Linked DNA regions of Macaca fascicularis. The protein of the gene in region 2 purifies or fractionates together with the protein of the main gene of each other region. This does not show direct contact. Links are inferred from orthologs where the notes say so. Each region holds a gene or a part of one and is shown on either strand. Other genes may lie near its edges.

The links.
Region 1: the proteins of SAP130 (region 2) and SUDS3 purify together in Homo sapiens (affinity purification with western blotting; 3 studies listed by BioGRID, with this or other methods). This does not show direct contact. The link is inferred for Macaca fascicularis from reciprocal best matches to the Homo sapiens genes SAP130 and SUDS3.

The regions. Positions count from the first base shown.
Region 1 is NC_088385.1:125,402,589-125,406,153, reverse strand, and holds part of SUDS3 (sin3 histone deacetylase corepressor complex component SDS3), read right to left. Parts: intron 2,348-3,565; coding exon 2,242-2,347; intron 1-2,241.
Region 2 is NC_088386.1:3,499,492-3,503,642, reverse strand, and holds the start of SAP130 (histone deacetylase complex subunit SAP130), read right to left. Parts: upstream 2,847-4,151; 5' UTR 2,704-2,846; coding exon 2,632-2,703; intron 1,839-2,631; coding exon 1,721-1,838; intron 1-1,720. UniProt on the Homo sapiens protein: Acts as a transcriptional repressor. May function in the assembly and/or enzymatic activity of the mSin3A corepressor complex or in mediating interactions between the complex and other regulatory complexes.

The DNA of each region.
Region 1 (3,565 bases), on a different chromosome or scaffold from region 2:
TGAGCAGCTCAGCCAGTATTCCCAGGAACACTCTTCAATTGTCACTGGAGAAGAGAAAGACCCACCTTCAACAACTGCATTATGATCTCTGACTGCCAAGGCCAAAAATTAAAAGTATACGGAATAGAGAAGAAAACAACATTTTCACAGTATATTTAACAAGAGAATAAGCAATTTCAATTTCACTGAAGAGGTAAAATGCATCCAGTGACATTATTTTCTACATTTCTGCTGCTGATGTAAGAAAGATGGTGAAAATTCCTTCAAAATGCTTAGGAGTTCTAACACATCAAATCTGACCATTTTGTTTACATTAGGAAACACCAGACACTGTGGATCCTTTTTTTAAAAAAACAAGAATTTTATTTTACTGCATTTTCACCCTCAAGACATGTCTCATCAAGTCTGAGGATTAAGCTTAGAAAGAGGAAGATTCAAAGCAACACAATTAACAAAATGAATATGACTGGAAATATCACATGGCTTTAAGACTCATAGATCCGTAAAAATGTTACTGATAAATCTCATCATTTTCAAGGATGGTTCTTATGTGTGGGCTTGATCTTTAAAGGTTATTTGGTTTTCATTATTAGAAACATTTTTCATCTCATTTTGCCCTTCTCGGTGTTAAGCTGTTAGAACCTGCCACCTAGTGGCGATGTGTTCTGAGACATAATGTTACAACACAAACCGACCTTCCTGAAGAAGGCCAAAGAAAACCAAATCAGAGGGGAAGAAGTCATCAAGACCAGCCTTAGTGATAAAGTGAGCCTCCAGCATCTACTGGGTAATTAACTCACTGCAACTTAGTAGGTGGAAATGATTTATTTCAGGCATGACAAGAACCCTAAGCATTTCTGACAAGTACAATGTTATCAAGTAACCAATCTAACACAATGCTGGTTTTTTTTAAGAATTCAAAATAAATAACCATTACCCCAATTTTGGAACTTTTGGTTAGATACTGAAACTCAAAGGGTCATTATATAGCCATTATAAATGATAATTACAGACACCTTATAGTAACCCAGAAAAACATTCTCAATATAACCAAACGGAAAGGCAAAGCCAACCATATGTCCATTATGACTTAAAACGAATAGAGAGTATGCCTGCATATGGACAAAGAATAAAAAGAAATATATCAGAATGAAAAGACCTGAGAAATGATGGCAGTATCCATTTCATACCCAGCAGAAAGTGTTAATACAGAAGAAATGTTTGTTGAATGAACAAAAGTATGAGCTTTTAAGGTTCTTCCATACTGTTTTGCCATTACCTTTCCAATGAAAAATGCTAGGTGGTCTGAAGGTTTCAAAGAGTCTTCAGTGTAAACTAGGAATGCAGCAGGACATGGTGGCTTACGCCTGTAATCCCAGCACTTTGGGAAGCCGAGGCAATCAGATCATGTGAGGTCAGGAGTTCGAGACCAACCCGGCCAACACGGTGAAACCTTGTCTCTACTAAAAATACAAAAATTAGCTGGGCATGGTGGCGGGTGCCTGCAATTCCAGCTACTCGGGAGGTTGAGGCAGGAGAATCGCTTGAACAGGGAAGGCGGAGGTTGCAGTGAGCTGAGATCACACCACTGCACTCCAGTCTGGTGACAGAGCAAGACTCCGTCTCAAAAAACAAAAAACAAACTAGGAATGTTTTAGGATACAGCTCCCCCAAGCAAGTATCCTTGACCACTTCTGCAGCAGGATCATGTAAGAAAAAAGGGTATGTGACATCAAAACACAACTAATAACATCTTAGAAATTCACAGTGTACATTAGCATATCACAGGACCCAAAGGGTGCTACAAGGGAGAAACCCACTTATCTTAATTAACATGATCATCCCCCAAACTAATATGACCACAAAATCCTTTAATCCGAAGAGCACCTACTAACTTTAGCACACAGGGGCAGAGTTAAGAGGGGTCACAGGGGGACATACACCCCAGCCCCAGTTGGCAGGGGCACCATACAAGATAGCAGCCTGCAAATTCTAGTACAGAGACAGCGGAATGGAGAAGGAAGGGGAGCAGAACATGGTTTTGGGAAACACTGCTTTCAAAGATCTACTGGAAGTATTGGTTAAATGACTGCTAATACATTTTTTAATGGGTTTCTACTTTTAGTACTATGTAAGTTTAACAGCAGCCATGCTCTGAAATAACTACAATAGCCCCAAGCCCTCTTTCCAAGTGGTTGGTATGAGACTTTTACAAGTAGTCCAGGTTTTCCCATAACATACCATCTTTTGTCATAGTACAGTTTGCCGTCTTCTATCCGAGCTTCAAACCTCTGGGCTGGAGATTCCGCGGGTGTCGCAGGCAAGTGCTCAGGAGACGATGGAGATGCTGGAGGAAACCAACACTTACATGACTAAGAATGCAACCAACACATGCGAGTCTACCAGTTAACATGCTTTAATTGAAACACTATCAGAATGTGGTAATAATCATCATTGAGCCCTTACAGTAATAATGCATGGGAATTCAGCAAAATTCTTGTATATTCCATCTAAACTTGATAATCAAAGCAACCCTGGGAAGTAGGCAAGGCACAGATTAACCTCATCAAATGGAAGAGACACCTGGGCTTCAGAAAGATTAAGGTCAAATGTGCAAACATATAAGGTCACTTACAGTAGGACTAAAGCCCTGGTGATCAAAGGGCAAGTATTATGAAAATCTCTTTAAAATGCAATCATTTTTAGCAGGGTGCAGTGGCGCACGCCTATAATCCCAGCACTTTGGGAGGCCGAGGCAGGTGGACCACGAGGTCAACAGATGAGACCATCCTGGCCAACATGGTGAAACTAAAATACAAAAAGTCGGCCAGGCATGGTGGCACGCGCCTGTAGTCCCAGCTACTCGGGAGGCTGAGGCAGGAAAATCACTTGAACCTGGGAGTCGGAAGTTGCAGTAAGCAGAGATCATGCCACTGCACTCCAGCCGGGCGACAGAGTGAGACTCTATAATCCAAAAAAGGAATCATTTCAAGAACTACTAAATTTACACACTCACACAACTCCCTCACCCCCTCCCCATCATGCATGCCTCAGAAGGTCAGGACACCTCTGTGGACCACAGAGGCCCCCAGGAAGACATTATCCAGAAAAAGAAGACTCTTGTTTTTCTTCCACAAGACTCAGGAAGTAGAGGGATGTGTGAGTAATCATGGTGCTTTAAACAAAAAAAGATGTCACCAATTCAGCATTCTAGTTGGCAACTAGCACTGATGATCTCAAGTGCTGTTCTGGAAGGAACAACTATGAATACTGAGCCGGTTGGTCTCTTCTATGAACTGCGAGTCAGAGCAGCCTTCGAATGCCTTACCAGAGTCAGGCCATGAAAAGCCACTGGAGCCGAACTGCCTAGGACTTGGCTTTAGAAAGCCAGTAATACTTAAAATCCTAGTTTCATTTTCAGAAATGGATGTGTATTTAAATCTTATGCCTGATGCGTACACAGAAGGAAACCTTTACCAGCCAATCAAATGTCTCTTTTACAATAAACCCTAAGAAAAAAATAAAAATAACAAAGCAGGGGTTAGAAAAAAAAAAAAAAGAAATC
Region 2 (4,151 bases):
GAGGCACAAGAATCGCTAAAACCCAGGAGGCAGAGACCGAAGGGACCTGAGATAGAGCCAGTGCACTCTAACCTGGGCCAAAGAGTGACACTCTGTCTCAAAAAAATAAAATAAAACAAAATAAAGTAAAATAAAATAAAATAAGCTGGGGAGCTCAAAAGATCGAGGCTGCAGTGGGCTGTGATTAGGCCACTGTACTCCCGCTTGAATGACAGCATGAGATGCTGTTGCAAAAAAATAAGCCTCAGCTACTGGTTTAAGCAATGAGTAGACAGTGGTATCATTTACCATAAGGAACACCAGAATCGAGTGGTGAAGAAAAAGGAATAGAAAATAGTTTATTCATGGCCGGGCGCGGTGGCTCAAGCCTGTAATCCCAGCACTTTGGGAGGCCGAGGCGGGTGGATCACGAGGTCAGGAGATCGAGACTATCCTGGCTAACATGGTGAAACCCCGTCTCTACTAAAAATACAAAAAACTAGCCGGGCGTGGTGGCGGGCGCCTGTAGGCTCAGCTATTTGGGAGGCTGAGGCGGGAGAATGGCGTGAACCCGGGAGGCGGAGCTTGCAGTGAGCCGAGATCACGCCACTGCACTCCAGCCTGGGAGACACAGCGAGACTCCGTCTCAAAAAAAAAAAAAAAAAAAAAAAGAAAATAGTTTATTCCACTTTGCAATGTCACATATTTACTTAATACGTAGCGAAAAAGAGTATTTGAAGGAATTCCTCAACTTCAGCGCTGCTGACTAGACTGGATACTTCTCTGTTGTGGGGGCTTCCCGTTATCTTGTAGGATGTGAAGCAGTATCCCTGGCCTCTACCTACCAGATGCCAATAGCACTGTTGAGTTGTGACAACCAAACTGTCTTTAGATATTGCCAAGTATTCCCCTGCAGGAAAAACCACCTCCCCAAACACCTGTCACTGAGAACCACTGATTTCTAGCACTCAAAGGGCATGAGACGAAAAACCAAGTCTTATCTGTGTGTATGCAATCAGCCCTCTGTATCCATGGGTTCCCTGATGTGAATTCAAACAACTTTGGATGTTAAATATTCAGGGGGAAAAATAAAATATGGTTGCATCTGTACTAAGCACATACAGACTTTTTTGTCTTCTCACTGTTCTCTTAGCAATACGGAATAACAACTATTTACATACTATTTACTTTGTAGTAGGCATTACAAGTAATCTACAGCTGATTTAAAGTATACTGGAGGATAGATACAGGTAATATGTAAACACTATACCATTTTACATCACAAAGTGGAGCAACATGGATTTTGGTATCTGAGGTGGGTCCTGGAACCAATCCCCCACAGACACCATAGGGAAACTGCATATCCTTTGTTTTCCACTTATTTTCCTTGATAATAAACTCCTAAAAGGCAAGATCTGTTCCTTAAACAACTCTGGGCTCCCTCACAGCACTAATGCTATACTCATGGACATTAATTAAACATGAATATATTAATGCATTTCAAAAATAGTTCTTACAGGCATGCTTCGCTGTAAGTTGCATGTGTACTCTATGTGAACGACGTGGTTAAAACAGGAAGAAAAAAAGCCTTGTTTAAATTAGAATAGTAATATACCCTTTCTTCAAATTCAAGAAATAAGAATTTACTAAAATCCTAGAAGGAATCTGCTAATTTTTAAGTTAGAAAACTGGCAATATTCGTAAAGTTGGAAGAAATATATTAGAATATTACATATCTCACCTGTAGCAGCTGGGTTTATCAATCCAGCAGTACCACTGTTTGCAATCTGAGAAGGGGCCTGGCTCAGCCCAGTAGAAGGGGCTCCTAATCGAGGAAACTGTTGAGAACTCATTTCCACCTGCAGTACATACAGTTATATGGTTATTACTAGATTCTGAGATCTGAATCAATATTGAGAAATTAAAGCATCTTTAGTACCTATGAGATAGTCCCTCGGAAAAGCAAATGTTGCATCATCTATTTAAAAACAATAACGTAGGATCAATATAAATGCAGACATTATCTAAACTACCTAAGTTTTCTACCAATATCGTTTATACGGAGCTGGCGTGTACTATAACCCTCCATAAATACTTGTGGATTGCCATGCTAAAAAAATCACCATTGAATCCTGTACAAGAGTCACATGACAGGTATTACCACAATGCATGTGTATTTCTCTGTGTAAAGTTTTATGGAAAATGGCATGTCTCTTCGAAACACTCAAACCTCACACCAAGGTGAACAGAACTGTGATTAGCATGTCATAGGAACATTCGGAGGAAGATACCCAGCCCTAAGAAAGGATCGGATGTTTTACATTCAGACCTGATGCAAAAGGAATTCTCCAACGCTTTTCTGCAAAGGCTTCCATTTACGGATTTCCTTTTCTTTCCCTTTCATAGACCCCCACAGAGCAAGAGGACCCTACACCTTCTCCATCTTCCCTAAAATCGTCCCCCACTTTTCCCCCAGGAGCCAAGCGATCTCCCCTGATTCGCCCGCAACCCCACCCCACCGCGAAGCCCCCGCTGAGATGGGAGGACGCCGATTTCCAGACACCTCGGAGTGCGAGATCCCCGTCTCCGGGGTAGGGGTGCGGACGGGCGTTCTGGGGACCCGACCACAAGGCGAGCACTGTGCCTCTTTACCTGTAGCCGCCGCCCGCCGCCCGCACCGCCCGCTTCTAGCTCGCCGGCCTGGGGGTGCCGCGGAGGGCCCATCTCGGCGGCGGCGATGCGCTCGGGGGGCGCGGGGAGGGATCGCGGCGGCGGCGCCCGGGGCCCGCCGCTGTCCAGCCCCGCTGGCCCCACTCACCCCCAACACCCGGCCGCCGCTGTGCTCGCAGTCCTCTTCCCCCGAACCTGCCCCTGCCTCCCCCGCCCGCCCATTGGCCCCACGCCCGGCGCGTCAGTGGAGGCCCAGGACCAATCCACAGCGACCTACACGGTCAGGACCCGCCCCACCCTCCCGCCGACCGCCAGCCAATCAGGCGCGAGCCTGGCCGGGGCAGCCCAAACCCCTCGAGGCTGAACCAATGGCAGAGGAAGACAGGCGCCCCCGGCGAGGGGGGCGGGGAGCGGGGAGGCCCCGCCTTGGCCAGGGTCTGAAAGCGGCGGGCGCAGGGCCCGGATGTGGAGAGTCACTTTAAACTGCTCCAGGAGCCAAACTCCCTGGGCCGCCCGCCCGCCCGCGCTCCCCCGACCGCTCTGCTTCCCCGCCAAGGCCCACGTCCGCCACGCCCCCACGCCCGGGTCAGCCCACCCCTCCCGGTGCCTCTCCCTTCCTCGCCACAGGACACCCAGCCCCTGTCGCCGGCCCAACTGCCGTGCCCAGCTCGCCAAAGAGCCGCGGTCCGAGCTGCAGGAGACGAGGATCCTCTGCCCTTCCCCGGGGACGCGCAACGGGACGGACGCTGCAGCCCGGCTCGGCCGCCCCGCCCCCTCGTCTCCTCCCCTTCCCTCCCGGGCTCCCGTCCCGCCATTACCTGGGTGCTGCGCCGAGTGGCCGCCGCGCCGCCTTGAGCTCGCTCCCGCGCGCTCTCTGTCTGCGGGGCCGACGTCCCCAGGTTCCCGACCCGCAGCCACCGCCGGGGAGCTAGCACTCTGCCCCCCACCCCTCACTCCAGCGCCGCTGCTTCCGCCGCCGTAACGAGCCTCCCGTCTATTGGCTGGCGCAGGCCCCGCCCCCTGCCGAGTCAGCCAGTCGCCGGTGGTCGTGAGCGGGAGAGCGGACGGGCCCGCCCCTCGGAGCCGCGGCGTCCTCTGGGAAATGTAGTCGCGGGCGCCAAGAGGGCGGGCCGCGAAGGAGGTGGAGAGCGCCGGGGCGGGGCCGCAGGCGACCCGGCCAGGGCAACACACCCCTTTGCTGTCTGAAGTCGGTTCTGTCTTTTCTCTTGGCTAAGTGAGAAGACAGTGGATCCCACCCTGTGTCTCAACCTGAGGGCACTAGGTTTCATTTTCCCCGCGGGGAGGCGCGGCGCGGGAAAGGGTAATGGAGGCCAACTGCGGCGGCCAAGGGATCCGCGGGCCGGACCAGTGTCGTGACGGTGCCCGCCTCCCTACGCCGCGAGTGGGACTCGGTGTCCCCACCGGGGACCGCGGTCGGCACAGCCTACGCGCGGCGGGAGCCCCAGGCGCGGCGCGGGCGCGGCTCTGTGAAAGCAGGCCGG